4 linked regions of the Rattus norvegicus genome follow. The protein of the gene in region 1 purifies or fractionates together with the protein of each later gene. This does not show direct contact. Links are inferred from orthologs where the notes say so. Each region holds a gene or a part of one and is shown on either strand. Other genes may lie near its edges. The genes, in order: Lgals1, Met, Itga4 and Fn1.

Region 1 (8,424 bases):
CCTCTGTGGCCAGCCTGCTCGGACAGCACCTACAGAGAAGTGTCCTCAGGCCTCAGAGACTTCCTGGAGACACAGGCCTTCTATTCAAGTCATGACCTGTCAGGGACGTCTCCTGGAGCCCTGAGCTCTCAGCCCTTGGGTTTGCCTGCCTCACCTCTCTGGTCCTCTTCCTGGAACCCTGCCTGATGTGGGAGAGGGGCACACACAGTTGGAACTGTAGAGGAACTGGCCAGGCTGTAACTGAAGTCTGGGGAGGCCTCAGAGGGAAGACCGAAGCTGCTGTGGTTAGTTTCCCTGGTGGTTACTTGAGGGCGGGGCTGGGGATGATGGGGCAGCCCAGCCTCGCTGCAGATCTGACAGCATCTCCGCTGTGCCCTGCAGGCTCCCCTCTCCTCCCATTCTGGGTGGGCTTTCCACATCTGGAGGAAGGAGCTAGAGATGAGCCTGGGAGGGAAAGGCTGGGTAGGGCAAGGAGGATTGCTGGCCTGGCCTCCAGATGTGACTCACGATTCCTTATCTTTACGACTCTTCCAAGATGGCAGTTTCAGAAGGGGAATGGCAACATGGACTCCCTGTTGCCCTCGCCACCACCACCTGATTCCCCAGTGTGAGCTGAATACCCCTCTAGCTAACCAGAGATTTTTGGGTAGGAGAGGGGGGCTCTCATAGCCAACCAGTAGAGCTTGGCTTCTACAACCATTAAAGAAATAACTATTTAGTACAATGATCTCTTAGCACCAGTGAAGGTCTGGTTCAGTCCCCATCAAGACTGAGTTGTCACAGGCCTGAAATCCCAGAACTTGAGAGGCAGGAGCAGGAGAAACAGAGGTTTAAAGTCATCCTTAGCACAGCAAGTTGAGGCCAGGCTGTACCACATAAGACTTGTCTAGGGCTGGAGAGATGGCTCATTGGTTAAGAGCTGAGTTCAGTCCCCAGCAACTACATGGTGGCTCACAACCATCTGTAATGGGATCTGATGCCCTCTTTTGGTGTGTCTGAAGACAGTAACATACAGTGTACTCAGATACATAAAATAAGTAAATCTTTAAAAGACTCTTGTCTAAAAAGAGGCTAGGGCAGCAATGGTAAAAAATACACGGGCTGGAGAGATGGCTCAGCGGTTAAGAGCACCCGACTGCTCTTCCAGAGGTTATGAGTTCAATTCCCAGCAACCACATGGTGGCTCACAACCATCTGTAAAGAGATCCGATGCCCTCTTCTGGTGTGTCTGAAGACAGCTACAGTGTACTCATATATATGATAGATAAATAAATCTTTAAAAAAAATACAAAAGGATTAATTCAATATGGCTACCCTGTTTTTGGAGACAGGGTTTCTGTATGTAGTTCTGACTATTCTGGAACCTCAATCTGTAAACCAGGCTGCCTTTGAACTCATAAGAGATCTGCCTGTGTCTACATCCTGAATGCTGGGATTAAAAGTGTGTACCATCACTGCCTGGCTAGCTGTTTGAGCCAGTGTCTCATGTAGCAGATGGTGGCCTGGAATTCCTAATTGTCTTGCCTTAGCTTCCCAAGTGCTGGTGTTACAGGCACGAGCCACCATTGTATGTATTTTAAGTTTAAATATTGGAAGAACTGGCACAGACAGCAAGAGGTATGCATACCTGAGCAGACTGGCCTTGTAAGATGGCTCAAAGAGGTCGCATCGCTTAAGGGGACATGTGGGTTCTCGGGAGAGGGTCACTCCCGCTCCTGGGTGTGGGGGTGTGCTGTACAGAGTTACCTGGGGAACACCGGCCCTCATGTGGGGAAGCAGTTGCCCCACAAGTCTTTGCTGGGCTGGTTTGAGACAGTGACTTGTCTTTGTGCCTTTGGCTCAGAAGGGTTAGGTCAGGAAGGCTGAGTCAAGCGGAGTCTGAGCCAAAGGAAAGGAGACAGATACAAGACAAAGGCAGAGAGGGCAAACTCGCCCTTTCAGTAACCTTCTAGCGCTCGGGAGGAGTCCAGGCGTCTTGGCAAGAGCACCCTTGAAGTGCCTTGTTTTATCTCAAACCCTCCGCTCTGCTCAGTGAGCCTTCCTAAGTCTCATATCACCCCATGACTATCTGTAGCTCCCCAGGACTCTCAGGTAAACGAACACGAAAACCCTTTTCCTGGCCAATGAGACCCTTCACAATCCTTAACTCTCAGCTTTCTTCTACATGGTAAGCAGCTCATTCCCCAGGCATGGGCTTCCAGCCCCTGCTTCATATGCCCATCTTCACCCGGCCTGAGTGAGTGGCTGCCCGATGCCAACACGGTGTTATTTCTTATTTCAGCTCATAGTCAGATTCTTTCCAACCCGTGAATTCTGAGAGCAGAGACTAGGAGAGGCTCATCTTCTCTGAGGCCAGCACGGGGCTAGACACATAGTAGGTGCTCAGGAAAATAACTGCTAAATGGATGGGAAGGGATGACCATGTCTCTTCTCCAAAAATAAGAATGAGACCAAGGGTGCAAAGCTAGCACATCCTGGGCTGCCTCGAGGTCTGCCTCTCAGGCCCCAGGGATGTCACAGCCAGGCCCTGCAGTGGGGTGAAATCCAAGGTATAAGCCAAGGACATAGTCTCAGGCCTGGCGCCCAGCCCAGCCCTAGTGAGCAGCACTGAGCCGCAGCGGCAGTCCTCTGCTTCCGGGGAAAACCCGGGTGGGGCCTGTGCTTTGTGGTCCTCCTCAGCCCTCCGCAGAAGCCCACAGAAGGAGCAATAGTGAGAGCCACACCCTGGCCTGCCAGGCGGCAGCCTCTTAAGAGATTGCTTTAATGCTCTGCAGGCGGGGGTGGGGTGGGGGGTGGGGGGTGGGGGGGTGTCTATACACCCCCTTCCCCACCAGCTGCGCTGGGCCTCAGGGGCTTTCTCCCTGCTGGCCCCAGGCCCCATCCCGCCAACTCTTGAGCTTAACTCATCCTTAAACTATTTTCCACTGGCTCCCCCAATCTCTGCCACAGCACAAATCTTTTTTTAGTGGGAAGAGGGATGAAGAAGAATAAGAGGCGGCGCCTGGACCCTGAGGGAGGGACTAAGAGAGGGGCTCTCCTCTCTGACTGGTCACCTCTGCTCCAAATTGACTTTATAAATCCGTTGACTCCGCTTCTGGTGACCCCCAGCCCTGTCCTGACAGGCAATTGGCTGAATTCTCGGGGAGGGGCGGGACTCACCGGGTCTGATCCAGTTAAAAAGGTCGGAGCGGGCCTGGGGCCCATCTCTCGGGTGGAGTCTTCTGACAGCTGGTGGAGCAGGTCGCAGGAATCTCTTCGCTTCAATCATGGCCTGTGTGAGTGCGGGACCCTCTGTTCCAAGGTCTAGGGGATTGAGCAGAAGCAGATGAACACAGGGGAGTAGCCAATTGGGAAATTGCTTCTAGTCCCAGCTGTGCAGCCTTGGACAGGTGTTTTCTCTGGTCCTCACTGGCTACATCTGTAAAATGGGGGTGGCTGTCATAGTCCCCCCTGAAACTTTCAGCCTCTCTGGGTTAAGAATGTTCTGGATTTCTCTGAGTTGTGGCATGTCTTGCAAGGTCCAGTACTCTGCCACTTTGTAGTTTTCTGAGAAGTGGGAGTGGGAAGGGTGTGGCCTCCGAGGAAGAAGGAGGCAGGGGGACATTTTGTCCAAGGCCATTCACTATTCCCTCTGCTCTATTCTAGAGTCTCCTGACCCCTCCCCCGCTGCAGCTGTCCCCAATCACAGAGCCAGGGCTCAGTTGGTCACCCTCTGCTCCAGAAAACTTTTGGAGAAAAAAAAAAAAACAAAACAAAACAAACAAAAAACACCTCCTGGGCCCGAGATAGGCGGCAGGCTGGTCAGTGGAAGCTGGTCAGGTCTGAGCCGAGGAAACTGCATGCATTTGCACACACAGACACACAGGCAAGCCCTCCGGAATGGGGTTCAAATGTCAAAGAAACTCCTTACCCAAATTAACTCCTGTGCACTCACCCAGGCAGCTGCGCGCAATGCCCAGATAAATGCTGGGCTCTCTAACTTACTAAGTCCACATTGCCACTCTCAGTCTGTCCTCTCCCGCAGAGCAGGCCCGCCTCTTAGCTTCTCCGCTCTAGTTGCTGTGCCTCTGGACTGAGAGCCTTGAATCAGATTGCGGAGGTTCGGGCTGCATTCTCTCAGAGAAGCAGGGCCTTGGGCTAGTAGTCGCCTAACCCTGTCCATCAGCTAAATGAGGATTTAGGTGGTCATATGCCATCTTCCCCTCCACTCTAAGTCCAGATCCCCAAGCTGATGATGGGTGAATCTTCTAGGGCCTGTTCTGTAGGACAGCCACAAGTTTGACACCCTGCTGGGAATGGGGACTCTCTCCAACTGCAGGGATAATCAAGACTAGAACCTACACCCTATCCTGACCACCCATCCTACCTTGGGCTTCCCCTAGGGTTGGTCAGGGTATCCCAGGGTGGAAATGACCCCATTCCCACACCCCAGGCCACTGTAGGTCGCTCCTAACTCCAACCTAAACACAGCTGGGTGGTCTTGTCTACACAGGGTCTGGTCGCCAGCAACCTGAATCTCAAACCTGGGGAATGTCTCAAAGTTCGGGGAGAGCTGGCCCCGGACGCCAAGAGGTGAGATTGGAGAAAGGAATGGAGATGGCAGGGGGCGGGGTTCGCAGACCTAAAATGCGATGGGCGTGACCGGCCAGAACCGCTTCTCCCCCCCCTACCTAACCCCGCCGCGGGTTAATGGGCAGCTGCAGATGCTGCGTTTTCTGGGTGAGTCATTTCCTCGCCGGGTCTGGTCGACCGACATCGCCGTGGTCTCCCCCTCCCTCCCACCTCCTCTCTCCCCGCTGGAGTTTCTTAAACTAAAACAGCTGCTGCCTCAACTCCAGCTTGCCCCCGCCCCTTCCGAGGAGAAGGAGGGGGACGCGGGGGGGGGGGGCGAGGAGGGCGTGGTCACCCTCGTGCCTGCTGCCTGCGGCGGCCCTGCTGAAGCTCAATTTTTTTTCCCCCCCAGAGCTTTCCCCTCATTCATACCGCCTAATTTTTCAGCAGCCATGTGAGCTTGGACCAGTCACCCAAGCTTAAGAGGTCTCGACTTTTTCTCTTTTCTTTTCCAAAGACAGAGTCTGCCTTATAGCCCTGGCTATCATGGAACCTATTATGTTGACCAGGCTGGCCTCCACGGAGACCCACATGCCTCCGTCTCCTCAGAGCTAGGATTGAAAGTGTGCACCTCCGTATTCCACACCCCTAAGAGCCTAGGTTTCCTAATAAAGCCAGAGGAAAAGTGGTGGAGTAGAGAGAGCCAGGGGCCAGTTTCAAGGCGGCAGCTGCTGCTGTCTGTTGTCAGATGTTAGTAAGCTCCCGAGCCCTCTTTCCTCTTCCCACCCATACCTCCATGGTGAGCACTGTTGCCAGGCTCCGTGCAGCAAACTCCGAATTATTATTTGCTCTTTTTTCTCCACAGTGAGGGAACATCTATGGTGTGTCCCACTCTGTGCTCAGCACCAGGGACTCAGATACACAAGATGATGGGTGACAACGATCAATGTCTGGGAGAGAGAGCTCCCTTCAGGACAAGCCCTCTGACTGACAGACAGGGAAGGAAATGTGGGTCAGAGAGAATCTGCAGGGTCTAGCTCAGTTCGCATGGTGAGGCCAGAAGTAGAATCCAGGTTCCTGGCCTTCCTGTTGACTGAGTTTCACCAGGGCACATTAGTGGCCAGCTGCTGATGTTGCATTTTCTCAGTAAGCCAGCCAGGGGCTAGAGCCATGCAACACGGCTTAAAGCCCACCTGTCATCCTTAGCTTTGTGTTGAACCTGGGGAAAGACAGCAACAACCTGTGCCTACACTTCAACCCCCGCTTCAACGCCCATGGAGATGCCAACACCATTGTGTGTAACAGCAAGGATGATGGGACCTGGGGAACAGAACAACGGGAGACTGCCTTCCCTTTCCAGCCTGGGAGCATCACGGAGGTGGGTAGGACTGGGGCTGGGCAGGGCCCTGGGTGGACTGCACAATGTGGTCAGAGGCGGAGGCTGATCCGTCCTGGCTGTGTGATTACCACTGAATGGCATCCCTCTTTGAACATAATGGACCTCACCTATACAGGGGCCATCCCCAGGGCTCTGAGCTGGTCCAGGCCCCAGCTCACTGCCCTTCTCCATCCACCAGGTGTGCATCACCTTTGACCAGGCTGACCTGACCATCAAGCTGCCAGACGGGCATGAATTCAAATTCCCCAACCGCCTCAACATGGAGGCCATCAACTACATGGCGGCGGATGGTGACTTCAAGATTAAGTGTGTGGCCTTTGAGTGAAGCCAGCCAGCCCCAGCCCGTAGCCCCCAATAAAGGCAGCTGCCTCTGCTCCCTGTAACCCAGCCCTTCGTGTGTGAGTGTTTGTGTATGTCTATGTGAGGGGCCCTGCCCAACCTGGTCCATCTGCACTTCCATTCACTCCTCCACGTGTTCTTGGTCCCAGTGACCTTTCTTCTTGTGCTCTCCAGGCTAAGGCGAGCCCAGCACATAGAGGGGGCTTAGTGACCGCAGAGTGTGAACCAGTGTACCACTGCAACAGGGCAGAATGGTGGGAGGTGAACTAATGAACAGAACACAGGACTTCATTTGTTTCCATAAAGGCCAGAAAGGGCATGGTGACACATTCTTGAAATTTAGGAGGCCAGGACAGACACATCGTCGTGTGTTTGAGACCATTCCGGACAGCCTGGTCTACATACTGGAGGCAGCTGGGACTAGCTGTGCAGTTCTGTACTGCTAACTACTTGGGAGACTGAGGCAAGAGGACCACTTAGGGCTAGCTGGGGCAACATAGCATGACTTCATATAGAACGGAGGAATCTTGAACTAGGTAAGGGGCTACAACTGTTGTGTGGCCTTGTGCTTGTTAGCTGGTCTCTCTGTGCCTTAGTTTATCATTTTTATGCAGTTCTCGGGAGGGTCGTGGAGTTAAAGGAGATTTTAGTGGAAGCCAAGTTCTGCTCTGGGTACATCATGGCCAATGCCATGTGGGTAGCTTCTGGTCTCCCTCACACTACTACCTTGTTTTTGCCTACAAAGGGAAGGGGAAGAGACGGTCTCTGAGGGACAAAATGACGCACCAGCAGCTGAGGAGCACATGTGAAGCAGGCTTCCTAGTCCTATGATCCTCGGCTACATTCTTCTGCTGTCAAAGGGCAGCTAGAGGCCTAGGCTAGAAGCTGCTAACTCTGTGGCACTGAACAGATCCCCTCCCTAACAATGGGAATCCAGGATGAGGTCACAGCCCTGTAATGTGGTTGGGGGCTCTGAGTGGGTCCCTTCGGAGACGTGGGGTGAGGAATGGGATGGGAAGGCCCAGAAGCAGGTCTTCCAGAGGGCAGGTGGCTCACTGCAAGCTTGCTCCTGCCTTCCAGAGCAGTGGGTGTCTTCCCCTGCCCTCAGCTCAGGTTCTGCTGCCTCGGGATGTGGTTGTTAGCTGAGGCCTGCCCCATCCAGTGCAATTAACTGCATCAAACCGGTGGGCCACCATTGTTCATCCATACCAGTGTCACCACTTCCCAGGAAACAGCTGCAGGAACTGAGCCAAGGTTCTGGAAGGCTTCAACTATAAACCTCACTGGGCTCTCTCCAGCTCTCAAATCCGGGGTTCATATCCTGAGGCTGGGAGGTGGGTGCCTGTGAGATGTGCCATCTCATTTTCTGGGACAACTGGCACCCTCTTGGTAGGGTCCATCCCCCAGCCTCAGTTTCCCAATCCACAGCAAGATGAAGACTTTTCATGGTGGTGGGTCCAGGAAGTGGGGGTACCCATAGGAGAAGGCCAAAGAGAATGGAATACATAAGCCTTGGGCTCCCATGAAACACACCCCAATCACTGTGCTTTTCTGAGGCTCCCAAGTGTGGCTGTGGAGGAATGGCCCTCTGCTGGGTCAAAGAAAATGTGCCTCAGACTGTCTTCCTGTGTTCACAATTTACCCTAGAAGCTAAACATTGATCTTGAACAAGGAAGGGATGACCTCACAGGGAGGTTGTAAGGCTCACCACAGGTGTGGGGCTGGGAGATGGCTCAGTGGGTAGGAGCACTTACTGCCCTTCCAGAGGACCTGGGTTCAATTCCCAGCATTCAGATAGCAGCTCAGAGCCATCTACAGCTGTCTGTAACTCCAGGTTCAGACGATCAAATGCTTTCTTCTGACCTCCTTAGGGAAAACACCTATATAGTGAAATAAATTACAAATAATAATAATAATAATAATAATAATAATAATAAAGATTATTTGCACGGGTTGCCAGCTTGATGGTGCTTTTACAGAGCTCTGTGAGTTCGAGGACAGCCTGGTCTATATAGTGAGTTTCAGGACAGCCAGGGATATGTAGGGAGACTCTGTCTAAATAATAAAATGAAAATTCAAATTCAAATAATAAATTAAAAAATAAAAAGGGGGGACTGGAGAGGTGGCTCAGCAGT
Region 2 (7,855 bases), on another chromosome or scaffold:
AATACATAATTTTGACTAAAACCTAGTATTTATGCATCTCATTCATAAAAATGTCTATCATACTTCTTTCATGTGAGAAACTCATCTCGGGCTGTGCTAATTAGGTTTGCACTGCTGTGACAAAGCCCCAGGACCAAAATCAACTTGGGAGGAGAGGGTTTATTTCATCTCACAACTCTCAAATCACTGAGGAACGTCAGGGCAGGAACTCAAGGAGGGACTATGGAATCAGGGACTGCAGGAAAGACCACAGAGGAATTCCGCATACTGGCATATTCTCCAGGTTCACATTAAACTACCCTTTCTATCCCTCCCAGGACCTAGGGAGGGCGTCACTCAGTGGACTGGTCCTTTCAATATCAACAACAAAAATGGCCCCCAGAGGCTTGCCTGCAGGTCAATCTGAGGAGGCGCTTTCTCAGTTGTGACTGTTCTTCCTAGATGACTGTTGGCTTGTGACAGGTTTGTATGTATACCAACAAGTCTGAGAACTTCTGCTCATGCTGAAGGTCTTCATTGGTGTATAAACGTGTGTGTGTGTGTGTGTGTGTGTGTGTGTGTGTGTGTATTCGTGGGTGTGTATGTATGTATGTGTGTATGTATGTGTGTATGTGTGTGTGTGTGTGTATGTATGTGTGTGTGTATGTTTGTATGTTTACAATGTCAGCCCAAGATTCTACTGTTGACTAAAAGTACCACTTGACTTCTGCTGCAGCTTACTAGACAAAGCCAAAATGTCCCTGTGCCCCGAAAGCCTGGCAGCACACAGGCAGAGTTCTGAGCGGAATGGCCACTCTAGGACTTACCACGGTGTAGTTCACGCCCACGTCATGCACTTCTATTACCAGCTTTGGGGTGCTAACTGAATTCAGGTTCTTTCCAATCCCCGTTATTGTGCTTCCACCACTGGTCAAATAAAACGGAAAACGGAAATATTCAGAGCTGTCCTACCAACTATGTAGACGCCCAGTCTTAGACTCAGTGATCACGCTAGGGGACTCGCTAGGGCTGAATGGGAGTTCAGGGGTAACTCTTCTTTGGAAATTTGAGAATGTTTAAAGAGATATTTCATTAGCTGTAGAAATGGCCGAATTTTTACTGAATAAATGTGGAAAAGAATGTTTTTTTTTTCTCTCTCTGAAAAATACAGGGGAAAACATCCATGACTGTTCTCGCTTGGCTGACAGAACAAGCGGAAACGAGAGATGCTCAATAGCTGCTGACTAAAACAGAGTCTGGTGCAGAGAAGAAATATGTATGTGTAAAGGGATCCCAAAACACAACAAAAGGAGAGGGAAAAGGCGACCTGCAGCTCGGCGGAGGACTGACACATATGCAAGCGTATGTGACATAGGTGTGTCACATATACAATGGCACCAGGCTGAACTGTTCTCCTCTAGGTGTTGAAATCATAACAGGAAATGAATAATGGGCAGAATTGTTCTTGGCAGGAAGTACCATCGATAAAGTCAGACTGTCCGCGGGACCTAAATGCAGTTCCCCGCTGAATTGGAGCGGAGCCCTCAAAACACGGCAGCATTTAAACAAGGGATAAAGTGCAACGCTCCTGGGTATTCCTCAGCCAACCTTCCGTTCTTGCTTTCCTTCTACCGATCAGAAGCTTTCACTTACCTGATAAAAGATTTGGTCGGGTGGATTTCAGAGACAACCGGGTCTTCCCGGTAACTGAAGCTGCTTGTCACTCGGTCAGCCAGGTCGATTTTCAATTTCACGGGAAACTCGGCAGAGACGGTGTGGCCTGGGGTGTAGCATTCGAGAATGCTATCTGATACACTGAACAACAAGCAAAACACCAAGGGCCAGAAAGAACGGAAGGAAAAGAGTAAATAGCAGACATTAGTTATTAGTGATATTATACTCCAAAATTATACCTGTACGTCGAAAAATACAACTCCGTGGAATTTTCTGAGGTGGCCTAGGAGAAAAGCCCTTCCCAGGGTAGCTTGTTTACATCCAGCTAGATTCCCACACTTAGCCTTGATGAAAGGCCATCCGTGACTTCAAAACATGTGGTGGTTCAGGCAAACTTCAAAGTCCATTTGGTACTAGAATAAACTTAGCTCCTTCCACCCTGAGGAGAAACTACCTTTTAAATCTAAGCTCACCCATCCCGTCCCTCAGCATACCTTCTTCATCTCTGGATCTTGATAGAAATGCTTATTTTGATGTAGTGCCAATGACCAGAGCTTTAAGTTCGTTATATAGCTCAGATAAGACTCACCACAATGAAGGAGTGGATAGCAAGACAAAACTCAGAGTGGGGATTAAGCAACAGAAGGGGAAGGATAGAAAAATCAGCAAAAGGACCCAGTTGGACTTGGGAAGAAGAGAATCACCAGGAGAAAAATCATATAAAAACATCTTTATGCTCTGTGCAAATAAATGCAAAAGAACTTGGCTTGGCGTATTAGGCACAGATATTAATACAACCAAAAAGCGACAATACCTTTTTAAAGTACATGTTTTCCCTCCGATTGAAATGTGTCTAGAATTGCCGCTGTTGAGGTATTTTCCAGTCAAAGTGAGTAAGGTGCCTCCGGCATGAGGACCATACCTTGGAGAAATACTTGTTATTACAGGATCCTGAATGGGTGGCAAAACCAAAAAGGAACTGGTTAGCTCTATTCTTTATGCAGATGAAATAAAAAACCAAACATCCCGGGTCATGACTAAAAGCAAAGCTTGGACTTACCACATAGGAAAACGCACTGTACTGTGTTGTCTCTCGACTGTTTGAGACGATCACAGACACATTGAAGTGCTCACTCATCGCGGGGCCAACTGTGCATTTCAACCTGCAAAGAAAGAGCAGAGCTTAATATGTCTCAAAGCCACACGCATTTTCTGATTTTCTGGTTTGGCTGCTTGTCGTGATGGGACCATTAACTCCAAATTGTGAGCTCATGATTCCAAATGGTAAGCTCGGTTTCATGGAAGTCATAAGGCTGAAAAGTCATGTAATCCTATTTTCTGAATGGTGGTGCCAAACTTTATATCGACCATTGTAGGACCCTTCATAGGTCACCAGTGCAGACTCACCAGCTAAGAAGTGCATGATAACCTAAGTCTGTGAAGTTATGTGTTTGGGTGTTTGGCCCATGTAGCATAATGACTGCTGCTATGTCAGCAGCATGTGAAGTAATGTGCCAGCTACGAATAGAGTAAGCCAGCTCTCTTCACCAATTTATGCCAACAACTATATTTTCTACGACTGTAGTCGTCAGAAATCTATTTAAACCACTTAAAGGCTAATGCTACTGGGACAGTTTTTCTGTAAATTATTATGGTTGTGCCATGTTGGGGACACAAGAATGCATGTAGAAGCCAGAGGCCAACCTTGGGTGTCACTTCTCAGGGGCTGTCTACTTGGTTTTACAATGTGCTCTCTCTCTGGGACCTGGAGATGCCTGATAAGGCTAGACTGGCTGACCAGAAAGCTCTAGGAGTCTTCCTGTCTCTGCTTCCCCAGTGCTGGATTATCAACAGTGAGCACCACCACACTTAACTTTTTACTTGGGTGCTGGGTATTGAGCTTGGATCCTTATACTTGATTGACAAGCGCATTAGCAACTGAGGCATCTCCTTGGCTACCAATAGTGCCAATTTTTATCCGTAATCTTATATAGCTATATATATAATAAATATATATTTATATAATAAAATTTAAATATAATTTGTTTTTACAGACTTCTAAAAAGAGAGAATGAATTGTCCTTTTTCTTTATAGCTCTTAATTCACATTCTAATAATTAAGAGTTTTGGAGAACAAAGGGATGCTTCTAGAGTAAACTCGCTTTTGCCTTTGGCCTAGCAAGCTTGACATTGACTGGTTTTGGTGATTATATTAAGGTCCTTTATGATGACCATGGAATGGAATCTATATTAGATAATTTACTTTATAGAACAGATTCAACCATAATGATTCAACTGTTGAAACTTTGGTTGTTGCTACTGCACTCCAACAAGTAATCCCTGGGTTACCTGGTCACTGTGGCATTTAGGGATTTTAGAGGGAATGTGTAGAATACAGGAGACTAAGCACAGGTCTTGATCAGAGAACAGAGCGCTGATCTCTGGCTTCGCTCAGGTAGGCTGTACCCTAGTTCTCTTAACGTTAGGCAAGAATGGAACTGACACCTCCTAAGATGTGGGGGACACCCAGATGGCAGAGTGCCATGAATATGACCTGAATATACATTTAAGCTCATCTAAAGAGTCTAAAAAGTGCTTGCCACTGTTCCAAGGACCAGCAGGTGAATCATGAACAGAGGACAGACACCCAGCTGTTTACTGATGTTCATGAGAAACCTTTGTGGGGGGCAACGTTTGAGGTCTCAAGGGGAAGACCCAGTCTTTCAAACTGTACGGGCAATTTCTGAAGAGGCTTTACTTTAGTAGTTCAAACCTCCTAGATGCTGGCCCAGCGGGATGGAAGACCAATTACCACACAAACCTACTGGTCTGAGTTTGAGCCCTGGGACCTACACTGGAAGGAGGTAACCAAGTTCCTGAAGTCATCTTCTGGCCTCCACACACAATGCTACATGTGCAACTGTACCCACAGACACTCGCCAAACACCCTAAACTACAGTAATAAACACAAATATTAGACTCCAACTCTGTATAAAGATTAAATCGAGTGAACAAGTCTAAAAACAACTCATGGAAGCTGAATTGCTCTAGGCCATACCACCTTTTCCTTTCTCCTAGTCTGTTAATAAAATGAGATTACGAGGAGAAAACCAAACACGTCTTCAAATGCTATGACAGGTCAAGACCCTTGTGAATGCATAGATGAACATGTTGAACACTATTTTTTTTTTCTTCTTCTCAGAAAACCCAATTAAAGAACCCGGCCTATCTCCCAAGGCCACTCAGCAAAGTCACCATGCTCCTTACGTATTTGTCGTGCTCTCGCTTAAGGTCAAGGTACAGCTCTCGTTGCCAAGCAGAACTTTGGTTTTCCTTAAATCAAATTTATTATTCTTCTTGAATCCAAAGTCCCAGCCACATATGGTCAGCATTGTTCCTCCTTCGAGGGGTGCACTAGTGGGGAAAACCTGCAACGATAAACCCAGCAGACTGTGATCATTTTCCACATCGTGGAAACCAAGCAAATGGTGTATTGCTTTTTAATATTTATTTTAATCCTGAAAAAGTCACACACACGTGTTTCTGTGTGTGGCTTTGCGTCTGTGAGCACACTGACTATGGAAGCCGGAAGAGTGCATTTGTTCCCCTGATCCTGGCATTACATATGTAACGCGGGTTCTAGGAACTAAACTCAGGGCCTCTGTTGAATACCTTTCTGACTCTCTGAATCAAGCAATTTATGTCTACCAGTTTGTATTTCTTAATAAAAAATTTAGTTGCTTTAAATATGGTGAAACTTTGATCTAGAACCTACATGAAGTTTTGTAATAGTACAAATTAACACTCTCTTTCTGGCAAAAAAAAAAAATCTAAACTGAGAGATCCTCAGATCAGTATTGTAGTGATGTTTCTAATTCTACTTATCAACATTATTTTATGCCATTGTAAAGATGTCTTTCCTCAATGTGCAATGTTCAGTGATCAACAGGCTAACTTTCGGTGTGTTAAAAGTGACCCCTGGACTGAACCCCCAGTGAACTAGACTGGTGGGGGGAGGGCGGCAATGGGGGGAGGGTTGGGAGGGGAACACCCATAAGGAAGGGGAGGGGGGAGGGGGATGTTTGCCCGGATACCGGGAAAGGGAATAACACTCGAAATGTATATAAGAAATACTCAAGTTAATAAAAAAATAAAATAAAATAAAAAAAAATGGTATGAAAAAAAAAAAAAAAAAAAAAAAAAAAAAAGTGACCCCTGGACTTACTATGTGACGGTGGCAGCCATATACCATAACATGAGGCATTTATGATGGCCACTCCAAGGCTAAAATTATTTAGGCAGAACACGTTTCCAAGTTAAAAATAATCTTCTCCTGGGGAGCTGTGTGACAATTGAGAAAGGAAATGCTCTTTTGGGGGGACATATTGTAAATTGTACTGTAAAGTACAATGGTGGGAAAATGAAGTCTGAGGATCAGGGCAACTCAGAACCAGCCAAGGCGCTTACTGAAAAGCCTGCCACTCTTACAGTCAAGGAGAACTTCCAGAAGAACTCAGGTTCGCACACATTCCCACCCTCCCTAAGCAAGTAACTGCAAACCCATGCCTTAACGCACCCTTGTTGCCAACCCCCTCTAAAGTCTCAGCCTAATGCTTTTCTAATCGCCGTTTGACAAACAAAATCCACTACACAGTTGTGCCTTTCATGAAAATTCACCTCATCTATGTCTGGCGAAATGAAAACTGCTAGAGGGGAAATCTGTTTACTAGGGCAATCCTAACAGAAGAGAAGAGGCAGTCGCTCCCAGGGCTCTTCAGGCCAATGCTCACACGCAGCTGCAGCTCACTGTAAGGAGGCTCCCTTCCAAAACAGCTGCCCAAGCCCATGTGGGCCAGATCCTTCCGCCTCCAGCCTTTCCCCTGCTCCACGTTAAAACTGAAGCCTGTCACTCAGCACACCTCATCATTGCTTCCAATGAAATGGCAGAGAGACTTGGCAGTCACCGAGAAAGGACAGCATTGCCTAGTAGCTGTGGCCACTAGTGACAAGTGACTAACACAACAAGTGACTGTAAAACCTGCACCACCCACCTCCTCCCCCCACACCGAGTTAAAAAGGTTGGCTCTGTTTAGCATTCTCCGAGCCCAATGCTGTCCCAGTAGCTTATGAAGGAACTGTCCCTCTTCCACGGGAAAAGGAAGGAGGCTGTCGGAGACCACACACCCTTGTACAGCCCCAACAATGGGCTGGCAAACTTGGAGTCATCCTGAAGTTCAGAGAAACTCTCCAGGCAGGAAATGTTCTGCACAGAGCCACAGAAGCCAGCCGGGTCTCCTACCTGTCTGGCTGGGGAGATGCTACCACAAATCAGTTCCTCTCCTTTCACAGGTGAACGACCACATTACTGCTGGGACCATTCCATCAAGACCTTAGAATTATGTTGGTTCACCCCATTAAAATAAAATATGAGAAAGCATTAAAAAAAAAACCATCGAAAACTAAATTTACCACCGGAAGCCATGTTCTCGTTTAGCAGGAAAAATAAAGTCACAAATATGCTGATGGCCCGGTCTGGTGCTGCTCCTGATCTGGGATTCTGATCAATGATACAGTTCTATTGTGTCTCTGAGACTGTCTCCAGTCCTATAACGTATGAAGATTGTCCCACCACGATACACCCAGACTGTACTGTGAAAATGCCTCTCCTTTTCTCACGGCTTTTGAAGTCTGGGGTCAGAGGACACACTTGAAACAATGCATTGGGTTTAAAATCTTGAAATCACTCCTATCTGAAACTGCAAAGTCTCCCAGCTACTGAATACCATGTACTGTGAGAAGCAGGTTAATGTGTATGTATCAGAAAGTGAAATTCTATACATCAGCTGGATTTGTGCATGTAGAGTTGAGGGCAGAAAAGAAAGGGGGACAATTTATCTTATTTTTTTTCGCAGTAAGAATGCCCAATGTCACGGTCTAGCATGGCATGAAATCTTCCTAACAGCTATGGGCAGAGGGGGTGGGTGTGTGGGTTTACACAGTCAGCTCTGCTATTGCTACTTTCTGTCTGCTGTAAAACCTACACCTCATCGACTTGTGCTTGTCACACCCCAACCTTTTAAAGTCACCAACTGTAGATGCTGGACTTTGGAAGGATGAAGGAAGAAGACTTGTAAGAGAAACTATGCTGTTCTGGAAAAGTCTAAGCTATTTGCTCTGTTGCCAGCTATTTTAGCAATAAAGG
Region 3 (7,855 bases), on another chromosome or scaffold:
ACAGGAGATTGTATGACGAGAAGAACCTTGATTTTGAAAGTCTAGACGTTTTTATTACTTTAAAATGGATTCTAAGTCAATTCTTCCAGTGGTGGTAATTAGAGATCACACACATACAAAATAGAATTTCAGAAAATGCCTTGTTTTGTAAAATAATGATAGAATGAATTTATTGTGATTAATGTTGAATTTATGACACTGGGGTGGAAAACATGCTGACTCATCGCATTGCCTAAGTGATGTAAATACATGTGACACGAATGAGGAAAAATTACATTCCATAGCTACAAGAACACGTCATGTTATACCGCATGACTCTATGGGGGCATATTAATGCACTTAATAACGTACAACATTTTTAATTATTTTAACTGATATCTAAAGAATAGAAAGCGTATTTTCATGAAAATTGTCTGAATTTTTTCACAACCACGATGGTAATTTTTGCCTCTTATTTAATACAAACCATATTTTCATTACCAATGACAGTATCAAGAAGATGCAATTCCGAGTCATGAAAACATGAACACTTACTTCCTGAATTGTAGGAAGCTGTTGCACTCTGGGAAATGGTACACTCTCCCTTCACACACATCTATCCTATGTGTGCAGTTTCATGGGATCAATTAACTCCCAATAATAGGCTAAGGAGGTACAGGTAGAGAGGAAGCAAGCCTGATGTCCAGGGTAGAATGCACGGTTAAGACAGTGCCATTCATTTAATCATATAAATGTTTCAGGATCAGTTGGTGGATAGCCAATCCTTTGATTCTCACGGCTGTTTCTCACCAACGCTGTGACTCTCACTGGGGTCTTTCCAGATCCTATAGCAATGCAGCTCCAGACAGTGTTCCTGGCATAGAAGTGATCACCAGAGCATGCTCCCCCTTCGACACCTGACTCAGTTGGGTTTTGTCAGTTTCTGAACTATACTGGTAGTTAAATACCATGGTCCAATGATATAGACCCCTCATGCTTTCTCTCCAATATCAAGATCTTTTTAAAAGAGAGAAAAGATGGATATCAAAAGTTGATAGGCATCATTTTATGAGAAAAGAATGATGCTACTTATAATCAATGACACCTTTAGAATCAATAAAATGCTTTGAATATCCCACTCTAATTAACCTGTTAAAGATCAATAACTGACATAAGATTATCTAAATCTCAGTGGCATATCATTCTTGTCCCCCTTTCAACAAAAAGGCTAACAGCTCAAAACTATGATCACATTTGCTTCCTTGAACTATTTTAAGCGTGGAAATTAAGTACCAAGTCAGAGATTTTTAATTACCTTCAAAGCCATCATTGTCAATGTCGCCAAGATTTGCCATGGATTCCCCAAACCTGGCAGCATATTTGTCACTTCCGACGAGCACTCTTTCCATTTCAACCATCACAGCTCCCTAGACAGGAATAGAAAGAAAGGTGCCATTACAAAACTGCCCGGCAACCGGACACGTGATTTACTGCTATAATTGGATATGGATTTTTCTAATGCGTCAAACCACAGACAGAGCTTCAGTACACACATCCCAGTTCAATTCAATAAATATTTATTAAGTCAACATATATAATAGCATGATTAGAGCTCAGAGGACATGGAAAATGGTCGAACTCATGATCCCTAGCTTTGAAAATCCAATAAATCATTTTGATAATTCAATTTAACAAACACTTATTGAGCTCTTGCTAAAGACAATGCACTGGACAGAGCGAACCAGTGAAAGCAGCCAAGGAGGAATGAGTATGTGTATATATATATATATATATATATATATATATATATATATATCACCGTTTCCTCCAGAACCACAGATACAAGATGGGCTTTATACAAGCATGGACATGACCTACAAATACAAATGGCTTTGCACTAATGAGAAGAAAGGAAAATAATTCTAACTGAAGCAAGGAAGGACTTCCAATAAGGGGCAGGAAGGAAAGATGATCTGAGAGAGATGTCACTCAGAGGTATGCAAGGTGGCTACTGCAAGGAAGGTGTGGTGGCGATGTACAGAAAAAAAAATGTTGAGCAAAATAGCTACATGTGTAAGTTAGACATATATGTTAATATCTGCCACATATTTATTAATTAATAAACATATAATGAACACGATAACAAAAGGCAAACTGTTGTCTTACAGTATACAGCAATTGGATTAAAAGGGGGAATTTACTCTTTCTGAAGGAAACCATAAGAAGCCAGGGGAGGTCTCTGAGATAACAGGTAACATGACTCAAGTGGCCTTTTGGAAACATCCAAACAGCAATGCACTGGTCGACCCTCATCTTGGAAATCAAAAGTGAGCAGTTATTATATATGTGATGAGCTGTCTAATTATGCTGTGATAATGAGCTCTGATAATTCCAATCCAACATTTGAAAAACAAATTCCATGTAGTGCTCACAGGTCTTATCCTCTTCTCAGGTAAATCTACTCTTCATTCCACAAACACACATTCAATGCTTTGCCAAGTCACCTTCACCTTTTCTTTATAACAGAAAATCCCTATTTTTTTCTCTCTGTCTCAAATACTATTTCTTCCTTGAAATACTTTTGGTCCAAAGTAAGGAATGTCTACTTTGAAAGTACTTATCACCTGCCATTTACCATGTTGCATTCCAGTGACTCCTCCATGACTGGCATCTCACCAAATCCTAAAATTCAGGAGTCACGATTGGGATTGTTTTCAGCTTTTTTGAAGGGCCATTTTCATTCTAAATGAATTGAAAATTTAAATTTATCTCTATAGCTGCAATCACTACCATTTACATGGCATGGAATTACATCCAAGGAGCGAAGGATAAAATGGGCGGGCTCCTCAGGAAATAATTCAAAGGAAGAGATGGGGCTTCAGTGAAGACACACAATGCTTAAACCTCAAGACAATGCTGATTTAGAAGAGTTCTAGGAGTAAGTGGTAATTGCTCCTGTTCAAGTATCCTACAGTCATCAAGAATGGCAGCTAAGTGCTCACTGGGGACCCCTGAGAGCGATTTAATAGATTAGGTCAAAACCCGAGTCCTTCGAGTAACCTTCTTTCTTTCAGTTCATTGACAATAATTCTGAAGTGTCTGCCTGTCTAGGACTTGTATGGGCCATGAAACAACAAGGGTAAATGAAACAGATGAGTCCTCTCCCATGTTAGCAGAGGTTCTGGCAGATGAGGAAAAGGAAATGTTAGGCTGCTTCATGGCTAGTGCCATTTCAGAGAGTTTAGAAATGGATAAAATGCAAGGAGAAGAAGAGAAATCCACACTGTGGGATTTTTTTTTTTATTAACTTGAGTATTTCTTATATACATTTCAAGTGTTATTCCCTTTCCCGGTTTCTGGGCAAACATCCCCCTCCCCCCTCCCCTTCCTTATGGGTGTTCCCCTCCCAACCCTCCCCCCATTGCCGCCCTCCCCCCATAGACTAGTTCACTGGGGCTTCAGTCTTAGCAGGACCCAGGGCTTCCCCTTCCACTGGTGCTCTTAAAGTGAAAACCAGTTGCTGAGCTGGTCTCAGTATTCAAGAGCAGTGCTTCTGGGTAATCCGAGGGAAGGGAAGCCTGGTGAGCAGACCCATCCTTTGCTTTCTCGGCATTCCCTTTATCTGTTTGCATATTTGGATGGCCTGAGATTTCAGCAGGAAAATGTTCCTTTACTTTAACAATGATTTTTAGTTACACTCTTTCTTTTAAACATTTCCTCATTAAGAGAAATGTACCAGGTATTTGCCACAAGGGAGAAATGAGAGATACTTGCTGACTAAGGGCAAGTGAGTAGAAAGAAGGCCATCTGCGAAGGGGAGGTGTGGAATGAGGTACAATGTTGTTCGCATGCAGCCATTAATGAGATCTGAGAGATCCCTACCCAGAGGACAATATGTTTTAGTTTAAAGAGAGTCTAGGGAGCCTCTGCATGTGTAACCCTCTAGTCTAGATTCAGAACTTTAAGACTCCCACCCTTCTAAGACTGGAAGCCCTTTCTTTTGCATCGTATAGAGTTCAGCATGACATTGGAAATGAACACTTATTAAATTCTCTGAAAAGTTCGAGTAAGCAGGGTTACAAGTGCACTTGGCTAAACCTCTACTAGAAGACGTTGTGTCCTAGGAAATAAACCTGTTTTCTTAAAAGCCCACTCTCATTTTCAAACTAAAGGACGAAATACTTCTCACGACTTAAAACTGAATGATACTCAGTAACTATCTGACTAAACAATGCAGCCACTTCAGAATAAATGATGCCAACCTCAGATTATTTTAGAATCTAATCCAAATGGAGTGTGTAATAATATTTCATCAACACACCTTATTTGTTTGCAAGTCAAGACGTTGAAAACATTGAATGCTTCATCTCTTCCTAATAGCAGACATTTTGTAACTTGCTGAATTATATAAGGACAATAGTTATTGAGTTATACAAACATCCATTTTGAAGTATCTGCAAAAACCATTCTCCAAATTGTATTTGTGTGGAAATGAAACTAAAGGGAATTTTAATTACTGCTCACGAAAGCTGTGCACGCGGATTCCCTTCACCCTCCATCTGTCTCCCTCTCAGAGCACCAGTACAGCAGTAGAATTCTACTTTGGTCCATCAAAGAAGCTTAAGACTTTATCTTTGACCTGACTAAACTTCTCGGTGCATAAAGAGTGCTTATGAGTGAGTCTCATGATCCAAACTGGATCTCAGGAACATGCAGTAGAAAGAGAGGCCTGAACTCCAATGACCTCCACATATGGACCATGGCATGGATAAGCATGCAAGCGCATGCACCATGCACGTGTGTACATGAACACACTGGCTCAGAACTCTGAAACGAGAGCAGTTTCAATCTGAATTATAATTCACGAATGGCTTCCTGTTTGGGGACCATCGGACATACCATGCCAGAGTTGATGTACACGAACACTCTTCCTTCCTCCCTGATGGTGCTCTGCATAGGCGCTCCAACAAGGAGATCTGAGAAGCCATCTGCATTGAGGTCCACCGCACAGACAGAAGCTCCAAAGTAAGAGCCAAGCTGTTCCAAAGCAAAGCACATGCGCAGTGAGAACACGTGGCGCTGCTCACAGAAGCCCTCAGCAACCCCATAGGCAGAAACGTATTTACCTTTTTACCTTTCATTTCATATACGATGGTCAGTTCGCTTTCATCAATGCTGAATATATATGCCTAAAATTGGGGGAAGAATTCAAAGACATTTACTTTCTTATCAAACTCAACCTATTTTTTAATCAAAATATCAATCTCTACAAGATGTAACTTGACAAACATAAAATATCAAGTGTTTAATAAAATTGTTACCACTATAAACTTTAAGAGTGATATATAATATTAATATTTATATTGATATGCCTGACTTGAAACACTATTGTCTCAGGAACCAACTTTTGGATCCCATAGAAAAGAAAAGGAAAAAGGTGTATCAAAAAAAATTGAGTGCCCAATACTTGTGTAGCAAAGTAGAAAAATCCAGAGCTAGAATTACTTTATTCTATTCTTTCTAGTCTTACCATGAAGCATTACCTGTCTCAACTCCCGCTTATTAAATAATAACCAGTACATTTATTCTCTGGGCATCTATAATTATGCCTTATTATTTATTATCATATTATATTATCTATAAGTTGTTATCTATATATTATCAATTTACTCATAGCAAAGCCTCATTTAATTTATATGAGTCCCCTTAAAGTTTTCCAGTAAATTTCTTTGAGAGCTATAAATAAATCTTGGGCAGATTCAACTGATGCAATATATCGCTCATCATTGTCATCTTATATGTTACAGTGTCCCTTCAACATGTGACTCATGTAATCTATTCAAGGCTTTGTGAAGAAACACAAAGAGGGTAAAAAGGAACGTCTTACTTTTCCTATCTGTTCGTGTTGAGGGGCTCCTCCCACGACTTCGGTAGTATGTGGATTTCGGAAATGACCAGCTCCTACTGAGTAGCCTTCATAAAAGGAGAGAAACATATGACGCTCATCGTTCACAGCAGTTATATGCTTTTCTAACTCTGCATGGAGGTAACCAAAACTATCCAAAATAACTACTTTAAGGAGAACCTCAAAAACGTTTATATTAACTTAAAACGGTCATTTAAGCAATTTAAACACACACACACACATATATATGTATATATATATATATATATTTTAATTCACAAACTCTCAATCTTGACACTTGACCTGTTATTCCCTGTGCAGTATGATTAGCAATGGTCTTCCAGGATTGCAGTTGCAACATCTGAGTACACAAAACTCTGGAGCTTTCAAACGACAATCTTTACACCTTTCATGCAATCTTTCTATTTCGCTGACTTTACATAAAGATATAACTTTACACGATGAGACATAAAGTTGGCTACATTTCCTATAATACTTCAAGCTCAATCACATAAGGAAATGCCTTATGAGTTCTGTTGGAATGATAATAATATATTACTTGTTTTATTAGTGCCCTTTCTGAGCACAAAATGTTCGCATTTAAAGCACATATGGGTCAAATAAGCCTATGCTTTGTTCAAAAATAAAAAAAAAACAAACAAATGAAAAATCTACAAAACATATGTGCTTTACTGTAAAGGAAACAACATTACAAAATTTGTATTTTGTAGAAATATAGGTGACAAATATGATATTCTTGACTTGGGAAATGACAACAATGAGGAGGAGGCAGAAAAGGACAATAAAAATTGTTAAACTCTGAGAAACAATTCAAGATAATCTTGTAAACAAAGCTTCTACAAGGAAAAAGCCAAAATGATAATTTTTAGAAATTTGTCATAATGCTCTCCATCAGCTGGGAGGTTCCTTTAGGATCCATTGGTCTTCATTTGCTAGTCTAAGAAATAATGCACATACATTCAAAGACATGTGTTTAAATGAATGAATTAATACAGAGTTAGCCTAAAAACTTCCGAGCCAGGAGAGGTGTCACAGACTTTTAATTCTAGCACTCATGTGTCAGAGGCCAACTAGGGCTATATCATGAGATTCTGTCTTAGAAAACAGAAAAGAAAGAGTAGAGGAGGAGAGGGAGAGGGAGAGGGAGAGGGAGAGGGAGAGGGAGAGGGAGATAAAAGAAATAAAGGAAGGAGAGGAGAAAAATAAAAGGAATTGGTTGTGGAGGGGTGAGGGTGGGGGCTTCCTGAGATAGAGTAAGCATTTAACAGTTCCTACATAAGGACACAGGGATGACAACTGTAGTTACTTACACCAGCATAAATACAGTTAATGAAATGCTATTGGCTTTATGCTTAATTGAGACAGTCTTTAATATATACCTAATTGTTACTGCCCAATAGATGTGTATATAATTTCTAAGGCACAGATAATTTAAGTTGGTCAACATTTTACAGTACCTAAGTAGCTTCCAAATTTTACTTGATTCTGTCTGTCTACAAATGCCTTGTATTTGTTCGTAGTTATGTTGTAGACAAAGACGGAGCCGGTCCAGTACGATGATCCCGGGGCCCCCATCACAATCAAATCCTGCAAAAGAAACCATCATTTGAAAGTTAAACCTTACCGCACCAAATCCCTTGCAAATATACAACATTCTAAGCAAATAACCAGGAAATGCATTTTATACTAAAGCTCAAAAATGGGAACATTTTATTAATTTAAAACCATATGTTAAATAGTCAAAAAAGTTAAGAATAGAATTTTAGAGAACAAGCTCTGGAACTTTATCCACATTGACCAGTGGGTTTCAACTATCAAACGTAGGGCTATTAGACACTAGAATAGGCTTTGGGGACCAAGGCGAGGTGGGCCAGTGAAAGACAATCATCTGTGTGGAATTCATTAGGGTTCATTACCAGGATAATCATGTGTTACCAGAGAGTAAAGGGG
Region 4 (7,855 bases), on another chromosome or scaffold:
CCTCCTGCCACCCTTCCTGGTCCCCTTCCTCTCTGTAGTAATGTACAACCCCCCTTTTCCGCTCTCATGTCACCTTGTCACCTCTATTCTCTGACCCTTTTCAACCTCTCCCACTTAAGGCATCTTCTTTTCTCCCCACATTCCCTTTTCAGGATCTATTCTCTGCACATGTGTGTAGATGCTCCGTACACACATGAAAAATTAAAATCTAGGATCCACATATGCGGAAACTCATTATTTGTCTTTCTGAGGCTGGATGGCTTTGTTTTATATAATAATGTTACTTTGTTTAACATGACAATGGAGTTCCCTCTGTTTCCTGGTGAATGTCACTGGGTTCTTATCCTAGTTAGAGTTGTTGTGCTGGCTTTCATAAAACACCAGGATCAATAGGAAATTGGGGAGGGAAGGGCTTATTCGCCTTACACTTCCACACTTTAGTCCGTCACTGAAGGAAGTCAGGACAGGAACTCAAGCAGGGGAGGAACCTGGAGGCAGGAGCTGATGCAGAGGCCATGGAGGGTGCTGTTTACTAGCTTGCTCCCCATGGCTTGCTCAGTCTGCTTTATTATAGAATCCAGGACCATGAGCCCAGAAAAGGCACATCCACAATGGGTTGGGCCCTCCCCTGTCAATCACTCATAAAGCGAAAGCCCTACAAGCTTGCCTATAGCCTGATCTTAATAGAGGCATTTTCTTAATTAAAAGTTCCTTCCTCTTAGATAGCTTTTGCTTGTGTCAATGCTAAAGCCCTTGGAAATATCAGTATTTCGGTATAATGTAGAAACTGACTTTGAAAAAGAAAAAGAAGACATGCGTGTGTAAACCGATTGAGGTCAGCTATCGGTACCGCATAGCAGGGTCTGTCGTGTCCCCCCACATCGTCCTGGATGTCTAAACTGGTGGTTGTTGTCTTTTGCTCCCCTCCTTGGGTGGGAAAAACAGGTCTGGACTCCCCAACTGGTTTTGATTCTTCTGATGTCACCGCCAACTCATTCACCGTCCACTGGGTGGCTCCTCGGGCCCCCATCACCGGCTACATCATCCGCCATCACGCCGAGCATTCTGCCGGAAGACCCAGGCAAGACCGAGTGCCGCCCTCAAGGAATTCTATCACCCTCACCAACCTTAATCCGGGCACGGAGTACATTGTCACCATCATTGCTGTTAATGGCAGAGAGGAGAGCCCCCCACTGATTGGCCAGCAATCCACGGGTAATGTTGTTTTTTAATCTGCAAAGAAATTCCCTGGTGTGGAATTCCTATGGTTCCGTGTAGGCTATGAGAGAGCTTCATGCCTTCTGAGTCTGCATCCCTGGAAAAGTAGACGGTGGCAGGAGACACTCAAAAAGCAGTGATGGAACCAGGCACTGCAGTGCACGCCTGCCTTTGATCCCAGCACTCGGGAGGCTGAGGCAGGTGGATCTCTACAGAGTGAGTTCCAGACCAGCCAGAGTTATACAATGAGACCCTGTGTCTCAATGAAAAGGGGAAGAGGGCAGTGATAGCCTGTGTGTGTGTGGCAAAAAATTTCTCCCTCTAAGAATACATTTGAAAAGAATTTTTTTTTCTTCGGAGAAATTGTCACTTGATTTGGCTATGCTCTGGTGATCTTGCTGGTCAGTTTTTATTTCTGATGTTTTGAGAGAGTCTCCTAGCCCACACTGACCCAGGACTGATGTAGCCCGGGCTTAATCTAAGATCCTTCGCCTTGACTTCTGGGTGCTGGCCTTAGAGGCATGAGCTACTATTGGATCTTTATTGGTTTTTAAGAAGATTGCATTCAAAACATAATGTGGTACCAAATTTAGTGTAAACCTATGATTTTTTTTTCTTTTAAGGTTGGGCTTGGTAGCACAGATGCGTATGTAATCACAGATACTTGGGAGGCTGGGACAGGAAGGCCCTCCTTGTCTGCTGAGAGTTCAAAGTTAGCCTGTGCAGTTCAGTGAGGCCTTTTCTTGAGATAAATAAAAGTTTTTTAAAAGGCTGCGATGGGTGTCGCACACTGGTAGAGTGCTTTGTGTGGTGCGAGTCAGGCTAGACTATGTCTTTAAGCACAGATAGATATATTTTCAGGGACAGTGATTAGGAGACCTGTTATCAAAACCATCTGTGGCTTAGCTCTGAATAGGGGTGCGCGTGACCACTTTCCAAATAGCACATAGTTAAGCATGCATGGGTGGGATCTCAGTCCCAGGCCAGCCTGGTCGACAAAGCGAGTTCCAGGACAGACGGGGCTGTTAACACAAACTCTGTCTCAAAGAAGAAAAAGAAAAAAGAAAAAAAAAAGTGCGTGGGTGGGGGTGCCTCTGTAGGTTTTTGTTGTTGTTTTAACTTATGTGATTTAAATTGTTTTCCAAAGAAAATGGTGAGGAAAAAGAATTCACAATTCCCTTGACCTCTCCATAGATTTCCATTCTGCTAATTCCGTGTTGCATTTAGATGTTTGTATGAAGGAAATGTAACCGTTATGTAGGAAAAGACAAAGAGTGGATCTGAGCTTTCTTTGGAAGTTATAGCCATGTCATTTTCCTGTGATTTTTCTAGTTTCCGATGTCCCGAGAGATCTGGAGGTCATCGCTTCCACCCCCACCAGCCTGCTCATCAGTTGGGAACCCCCCGCCGTCTCTGTGCGCTATTACAGAATCACCTATGGAGAGACAGGTCTGTAGACTGTGGGCCATCTCACCCTATGGGATCAGGGTCCAGGAGGGTAACTTGGAAATCTGACAGTGGGTGCAGGAGTAAATGCTAGCAGGCCCACTTAGAAAACCTCTTTTTCTTTTTTTCTCTTCAAATATGCATTGGAGCTGTGTTTAATTGACTATAATATTAAGTTCAAGGGTTGTTCATGCACTACAGCTGGGGTAGAGAGCAGAACTGAGAGAAAGAATTCATATATTCACAAATATTATCTCGTTGGTAACTCTTACTATTTTTTCTTTTCAGTGTTTTCTTTTTTCTTTTCTTTTCTTTTTTTTTTTTTTTTTGGTTCTTTCTTTTTTCGGAGCTGGGGACCGAACCCAGGGCCTTGCGCTTCCTAGGCAAGCGCTCTACCACTGAGCTAAATCCCCAACCTGCAGTGTTTTCTAAATTTAACAAATATTCTGTTAACCCTTTTGTAAAGAATGCATTTCATTCCATTTTGGGTCGAGTGACCCACATTCTTGTCCCCCTTTTCTATTTAATTTTAAAAAATTGATTAAAAATATAATTATATCATTTTTTCCTTCCCTTTCCTCTTCTAAACCATTCCAGGCCCCTCTCCCACCACTTCTCAATTTTGTGGCCTCTTTGTCTTACACACACACACACACACACACACACACACACACACACACACACACACGCATGTACATCCAACACATATGTATAACTACAACCTACTGAGGCTGTTTAGTGTTACTTATGTGGATGTGATTTCAGGGCTGACTACTTGGTATTTTATTATCAACCAGGGAGCTCATTCCTGGGGATTTCTTTACCTTTTGCCTGTTAATCTACAACTCAGTGACATTTTAACCCAGGGATGTTAAAATGTCATTAGCTTGAGCGTTCTCCTGGTTTTTATATACTTATCAGGCCTTCCTTACTACACGCATAAATACACTTGCCTGTTCCGGCTAGGTTAAAGCAGCCTGATCTCTTTATGAAGGAACCTGCAAGCCCAGTGATTTACAGACTGCTTTAGATGTTCTAATAATATTGGAGTCACTCATGGCTTCTCAAATTCTCTACTTACTAACTCCTTTTACACAGGAGGAAATAGCCCTGTCCAGGAATTCACTGTGCCCGGAAGCAAGTCCACCGCCACCATCAACAACATTAAACCAGGAGCAGACTACACCATCACCCTGTATGCTGTCACTGGCCGTGGGGACAGTCCAGCCAGCAGCAAGCCAGTTTCCATCAATTATCAAACAGGTAAAGATTTCTCTTCTGGGGTAACACAGGGTTATTTATGAAGATGGTCATCCCAGATAATATATCTATGTCTATATCTATATTTATATATCATCATGTTAAGTTATAAAGCTTATTGTTGAATATGATTTTACTGCAGCATGCTAAATTGTTTTTCATTTTTAGTATATATGTTATATATTATATCAAATATATATATCTCAATATATATCCATATATATATCTCAAATGCTATATCACTGAACTATACACTCCACCCTGTAGCTAACTAACAACACCTACAAGTAATAGAATCTCGAGACAAATGTACAAAGAAGACCCTGAGAGCAGACATTTTCGTCTGTTTTTAACTGCTACAGTCATTTATCTACCATAGACATAGAGAGTATTCATAAATACTTGTAAAAAGTGACTCAGGGGTTGACTGAATAGGAGACAAAGGCCTGCCAGACATTCAGTGTTTGGTTTGTGGAATGAAGGAATCAGGTTGAAACTAGTTGTCATAGTGTCTGGATGCATGGCTTCCCTTCTTCAAGCTGATGCCTTTCTTCTTGTCAGAAGAAGCCTCTGCAGTTCATTCACAGAAGCAAAGGTCATTTGCATGCACTCTAGAACTACAGGCAAGGGCGTGTCCAGTCCTGCCCCCAAGTACTGGGATGTCAGTGCTTTCTTTTGTCCTTACAGAAATTGACAAGCCATCCCAGATGCAGGTGACGGATGTCCAGGACAACAGCATCAGTGTCAGGTGGCTGCCTTCAACTTCTCCTGTGACAGGTTACAGAGTGACCACCGCTCCCAAAAATGGCCTAGGACCAACAAAATCTCAAACTGTCAGTCCAGGTAAGAATAACCAGAATGTTACACCATGCAAGATAAACACAGTAGGAGCTCAGAAGTTTCCGTTTGAAGTGAGTGTCCTATGTGGTGTTTGTATGGTGCTCCCATTCACAGACTGTTGTCATTGTACAGTTCTCCCATTCACAGACTGTTGTCATTGTACGGTGCTCCCATTCATAGACTGTTGTCATTGTACAGTTCTCCCATTCACAGACTGTTGTCATTGTACAGTTCTCCCATTCACAGACTGTTGTCATTGTACAGTTCTCCCATTCATAGACTGTTGTCATTGTACGGTGCTCCCATTCATAGACTGTTGTCATTGTACGGTGCTCCCATTCACAGACTGTTGTCATTGTACAGTTCTCCCATTCACAGACTGTTGTCATTGTACAGTTCTCCCATTCACAGACTGTTGACATTGTACAGTGCTCCCATTCACAGACTGTTGACATTGTATGGTGCTCCCATTCATAGACTGCTGCCATTGTATGGTGCTCCCATTCACAGACTGTTCACAGGACAAGCATTGGTATCCATGTATTTTAGGTTTTATTTTTTTTTCTACTGTCCTGGGTAGTAGTATGGAAACTATTTAAATCCTTAGTCACTAGGAAGAGAAGGATGTACTGACCCTGCAGAACCTTCTAGATCTGATGTTCCTATTATATAAAATGGCTTGCAAGATACATGATCTCAAGGCAATTTCTTAAGATCAATTTAATTTCTTTCTTTATTCAAGAATAGCCTCATTAATTAGGGGGCACGGTGTTAAGCTGTAAAGCTTACTGTTGAATATAATTCTACTGCAGCATGCCAAGTTGTTTTTGAGACTGGATCTCATGAAGTTTGTGCTGGCCTGGACTGCATCACGTAGGCAAAGACGACATTAAACTTCTGATCTTCTTGTCTGTATCTCTTAAGTGCTAGCACTCCGGGCACACAGTTTACTGTACTACTCACTATCAAAGCTGGGTTTGTTCATGGGAACAGCATTCTGCTAATGAGGCCACGCTCCCCAGCCCCAATGTTGTTACCAATGGACAAGTTTTCCTAAGAGGAAAGAGGCATCTGGCTTTTCCAAGTGGAATGGGTGTTTCATGACTGATCAGCAGATGAAAATCATAGAGTCCGCACCTGCTTCTCACTGAGCTCTTAGGCGTGTCTTGGGTGGCTTTCTGGACCTACAATTGCTTCCCTTTCCCTTCCAGATCAAACAGAAATGACCATTGAAGGTTTGCAACCCACCGTGGAGTATGTGGTTAGTGTCTATGCTCAGAACCGGAACGGAGAAAGCCAGCCCCTGGTTCAGACTGCAGTGACCAGTACGTAACCAACGCTCAGTCTCTACCTCCAAAGTCATATTGTTCTCGGGTGTTTCAGTCCCCCCTGCACATCTCATGCCATTCTATCCAGGGAGGGCAGTGTGTCAGCTGGTTCATATCTTGAGATGAGCCCTTGGCAAACATTCTTCTTGGTGCCACATAGTGAGCTTGCAGGAAAAATCATTGTAGCGTTGCCGTCAATGGCTGCTGTGCTTTGAATCTCCTTCGCTTAAATGGCCTCGGCAAAAATCTTATTTGCTTTTAGCAAATCTATGAAATATTTCTCCAGGGCCTACTTTTTCTATGACTGGATGGATGGTAACGTTGACGGTAGCACACCCCGAAAAGTGGTTATGTTTGAAGGACTGTGGCTGGGTCAGCATTTTAATAGAAAGACTTAACAGAGGGAGAAAGAAGACTCTGAGATGGATTATGTGTATGGCTTGAAAAGTCAACTTTACCATTTCCAAGATGTAGAAAATCCAGGTCTTTGAGACTAACATCACATTGCAAAATCAAATCTAGAATATCTTTACGTTGATGCAAGGAAATTTCCTTTGTGGAGATTTTTTTTCAGGGTGTCCGCGTGCCTCGCTCACACCTGTGTTTTAATGGGTAACGTGACACCGCATACGCTAAACCTCAAAAAGGGAAAAGAAAGCCTTTTAAGCAAATGTGTCAGGCGACTTTCTCTTATAATCGTGTGATAATTGGAATGTAATTCATCAAAGAAAATGGTATCTGCAGAACTGCTTTGCATGGTATAAGAAAATGCTTGTTTCCCAACTTGCTTTTCACATAACCTCTTACCATTAATTTGCCTAACAGACATTGACCGCCCTAAAGGACTGGCATTCACTGATGTGGATGTCGATTCCATCAAAATTGCCTGGGAAAGCCCACAGGGGCAAGTTTCCAGGTACAGGGTGACCTACTCAAGCCCTGAGGATGGAATCCATGAGCTTTTCCCTGCGCCTGATGGTGACGAGGACACGGCAGAGCTGCACGGCCTCAGGCCGGGTTCTGAGTACACAGTCAGTGTGGTTGCCTTGCACGGTGGCATGGAGAGCCAGCCCCTGATTGGAGTCCAGTCCACAGGTATATCGGTGACTGCACCGCTGGGTGCTTCTGGGAGCAGTGGCTTTACGCCTTGCTGACGTCATACTTTACCGGGCTAATGATTCCCACGTAAGGGAGAGTGGGAAAACGCCCTCGAAGTCATAGGAAGGGCCCTCTTTAACGAGGAATGGTAGCATACCATAAAAGTTAGGTTATATTTAGTGAACTAAGTCTATTCAGAAGAAATTTAAAGTAGCTAAGCATATATGTGCAAATGTATACTAAATATATATATTTAAAGACTATAAAGCAAGACATTTGAAGATGATACTACATTGTGGATTATTTCCTAAGTGATCCACACTCCCTCTCCACACATGAAGTAAGAGAGCTCACTCTGAGAATTGACCCTAAGCCAGGCATTTCCTGGCCACATGATCAGAGGACACATGGGAAAGGTCTTCTCTGGCTAGTTATCCTGTGCTGGGCCTTCATTTGCTTAAAGGATTATGATCCGATGCATAGGACAGAGTCATTAGGACAAGTGCTTCCCACAATCCTTTACCCTCTCATGCGTTACTTCTGGAGCAAGGTCGGAATGCTCAAAGCATATAGAGGTGACGGTCTGTGTTACCGCTCTCTGCTTCTCTTTCCTGCCTCTACTGTGAACCAATTTTCTTCTTATGCTGCTCCGCAGAGAATACTTC

Evidence for each region.
Region 2: the proteins of Lgals1 (region 1) and Met purify together in Homo sapiens (affinity purification with mass spectrometry; 3 studies listed by BioGRID and IntAct, with this or other methods). This does not show direct contact. The link is inferred for Rattus norvegicus from reciprocal best matches to the Homo sapiens genes LGALS1 and MET.
Region 3: the proteins of Lgals1 (region 1) and Itga4 purify together in Homo sapiens (affinity purification with mass spectrometry; 3 studies listed by BioGRID and IntAct, with this or other methods). This does not show direct contact. The link is inferred for Rattus norvegicus from reciprocal best matches to the Homo sapiens genes LGALS1 and ITGA4.
Region 4: the proteins of Lgals1 (region 1) and Fn1 purify together in Homo sapiens (affinity purification with mass spectrometry; 3 studies listed by BioGRID and IntAct, with this or other methods). This does not show direct contact. The link is inferred for Rattus norvegicus from reciprocal best matches to the Homo sapiens genes LGALS1 and FN1.

The regions. Positions count from the first base shown.
Region 1 is NC_086025.1:112,362,465-112,370,888, forward strand, and holds Lgals1 (galectin-1), read left to right. Parts: upstream 1-3,230; 5' UTR 3,231-3,266; coding exon 3,267-3,275; intron 3,276-4,492; coding exon 4,493-4,572; intron 4,573-5,757; coding exon 5,758-5,929; intron 5,930-6,128; coding exon 6,129-6,275; 3' UTR 6,276-6,337; downstream 6,338-8,424. UniProt on the Homo sapiens protein: Lectin that binds beta-galactoside and a wide array of complex carbohydrates. Plays a role in regulating apoptosis, cell proliferation and cell differentiation. Inhibits CD45 protein phosphatase activity and therefore the dephosphorylation of Lyn kinase.
Region 2 is NC_086022.1:46,820,577-46,828,431, reverse strand, and holds part of Met (hepatocyte growth factor receptor), read right to left. Parts: intron 5,082-7,855; coding exon 4,921-5,081; intron 2,817-4,920; coding exon 2,714-2,816; intron 2,605-2,713; coding exon 2,468-2,604; intron 1,795-2,467; coding exon 1,633-1,794; intron 907-1,632; coding exon 807-906; intron 1-806. UniProt on the Homo sapiens protein: Receptor tyrosine kinase that transduces signals from the extracellular matrix into the cytoplasm by binding to hepatocyte growth factor/HGF ligand. Regulates many physiological processes including proliferation, scattering, morphogenesis and survival.
Region 3 is NC_086021.1:84,591,868-84,599,722, reverse strand, and holds part of Itga4 (integrin alpha-4), read right to left. Parts: intron 7,493-7,855; coding exon 7,363-7,492; intron 5,953-7,362; coding exon 5,867-5,952; intron 5,169-5,866; coding exon 5,106-5,168; intron 5,017-5,105; coding exon 4,879-5,016; intron 1,407-4,878; coding exon 1,295-1,406; intron 1-1,294. UniProt on the Homo sapiens protein: Integrins alpha-4/beta-1 (VLA-4) and alpha-4/beta-7 are receptors for fibronectin. They recognize one or more domains within the alternatively spliced CS-1 and CS-5 regions of fibronectin. They are also receptors for VCAM1.
Region 4 is NC_086027.1:80,663,044-80,670,898, reverse strand, and holds part of Fn1 (fibronectin precursor), read left to right. Parts: intron 1-945; coding exon 946-1,215; intron 1,216-2,550; coding exon 2,551-2,667; intron 2,668-3,762; coding exon 3,763-3,927; intron 3,928-4,611; coding exon 4,612-4,767; intron 4,768-5,975; coding exon 5,976-6,089; intron 6,090-6,917; coding exon 6,918-7,187; intron 7,188-7,855. UniProt on the Homo sapiens protein: Fibronectins bind cell surfaces and various compounds including collagen, fibrin, heparin, DNA, and actin. Fibronectins are involved in cell adhesion, cell motility, opsonization, wound healing, and maintenance of cell shape.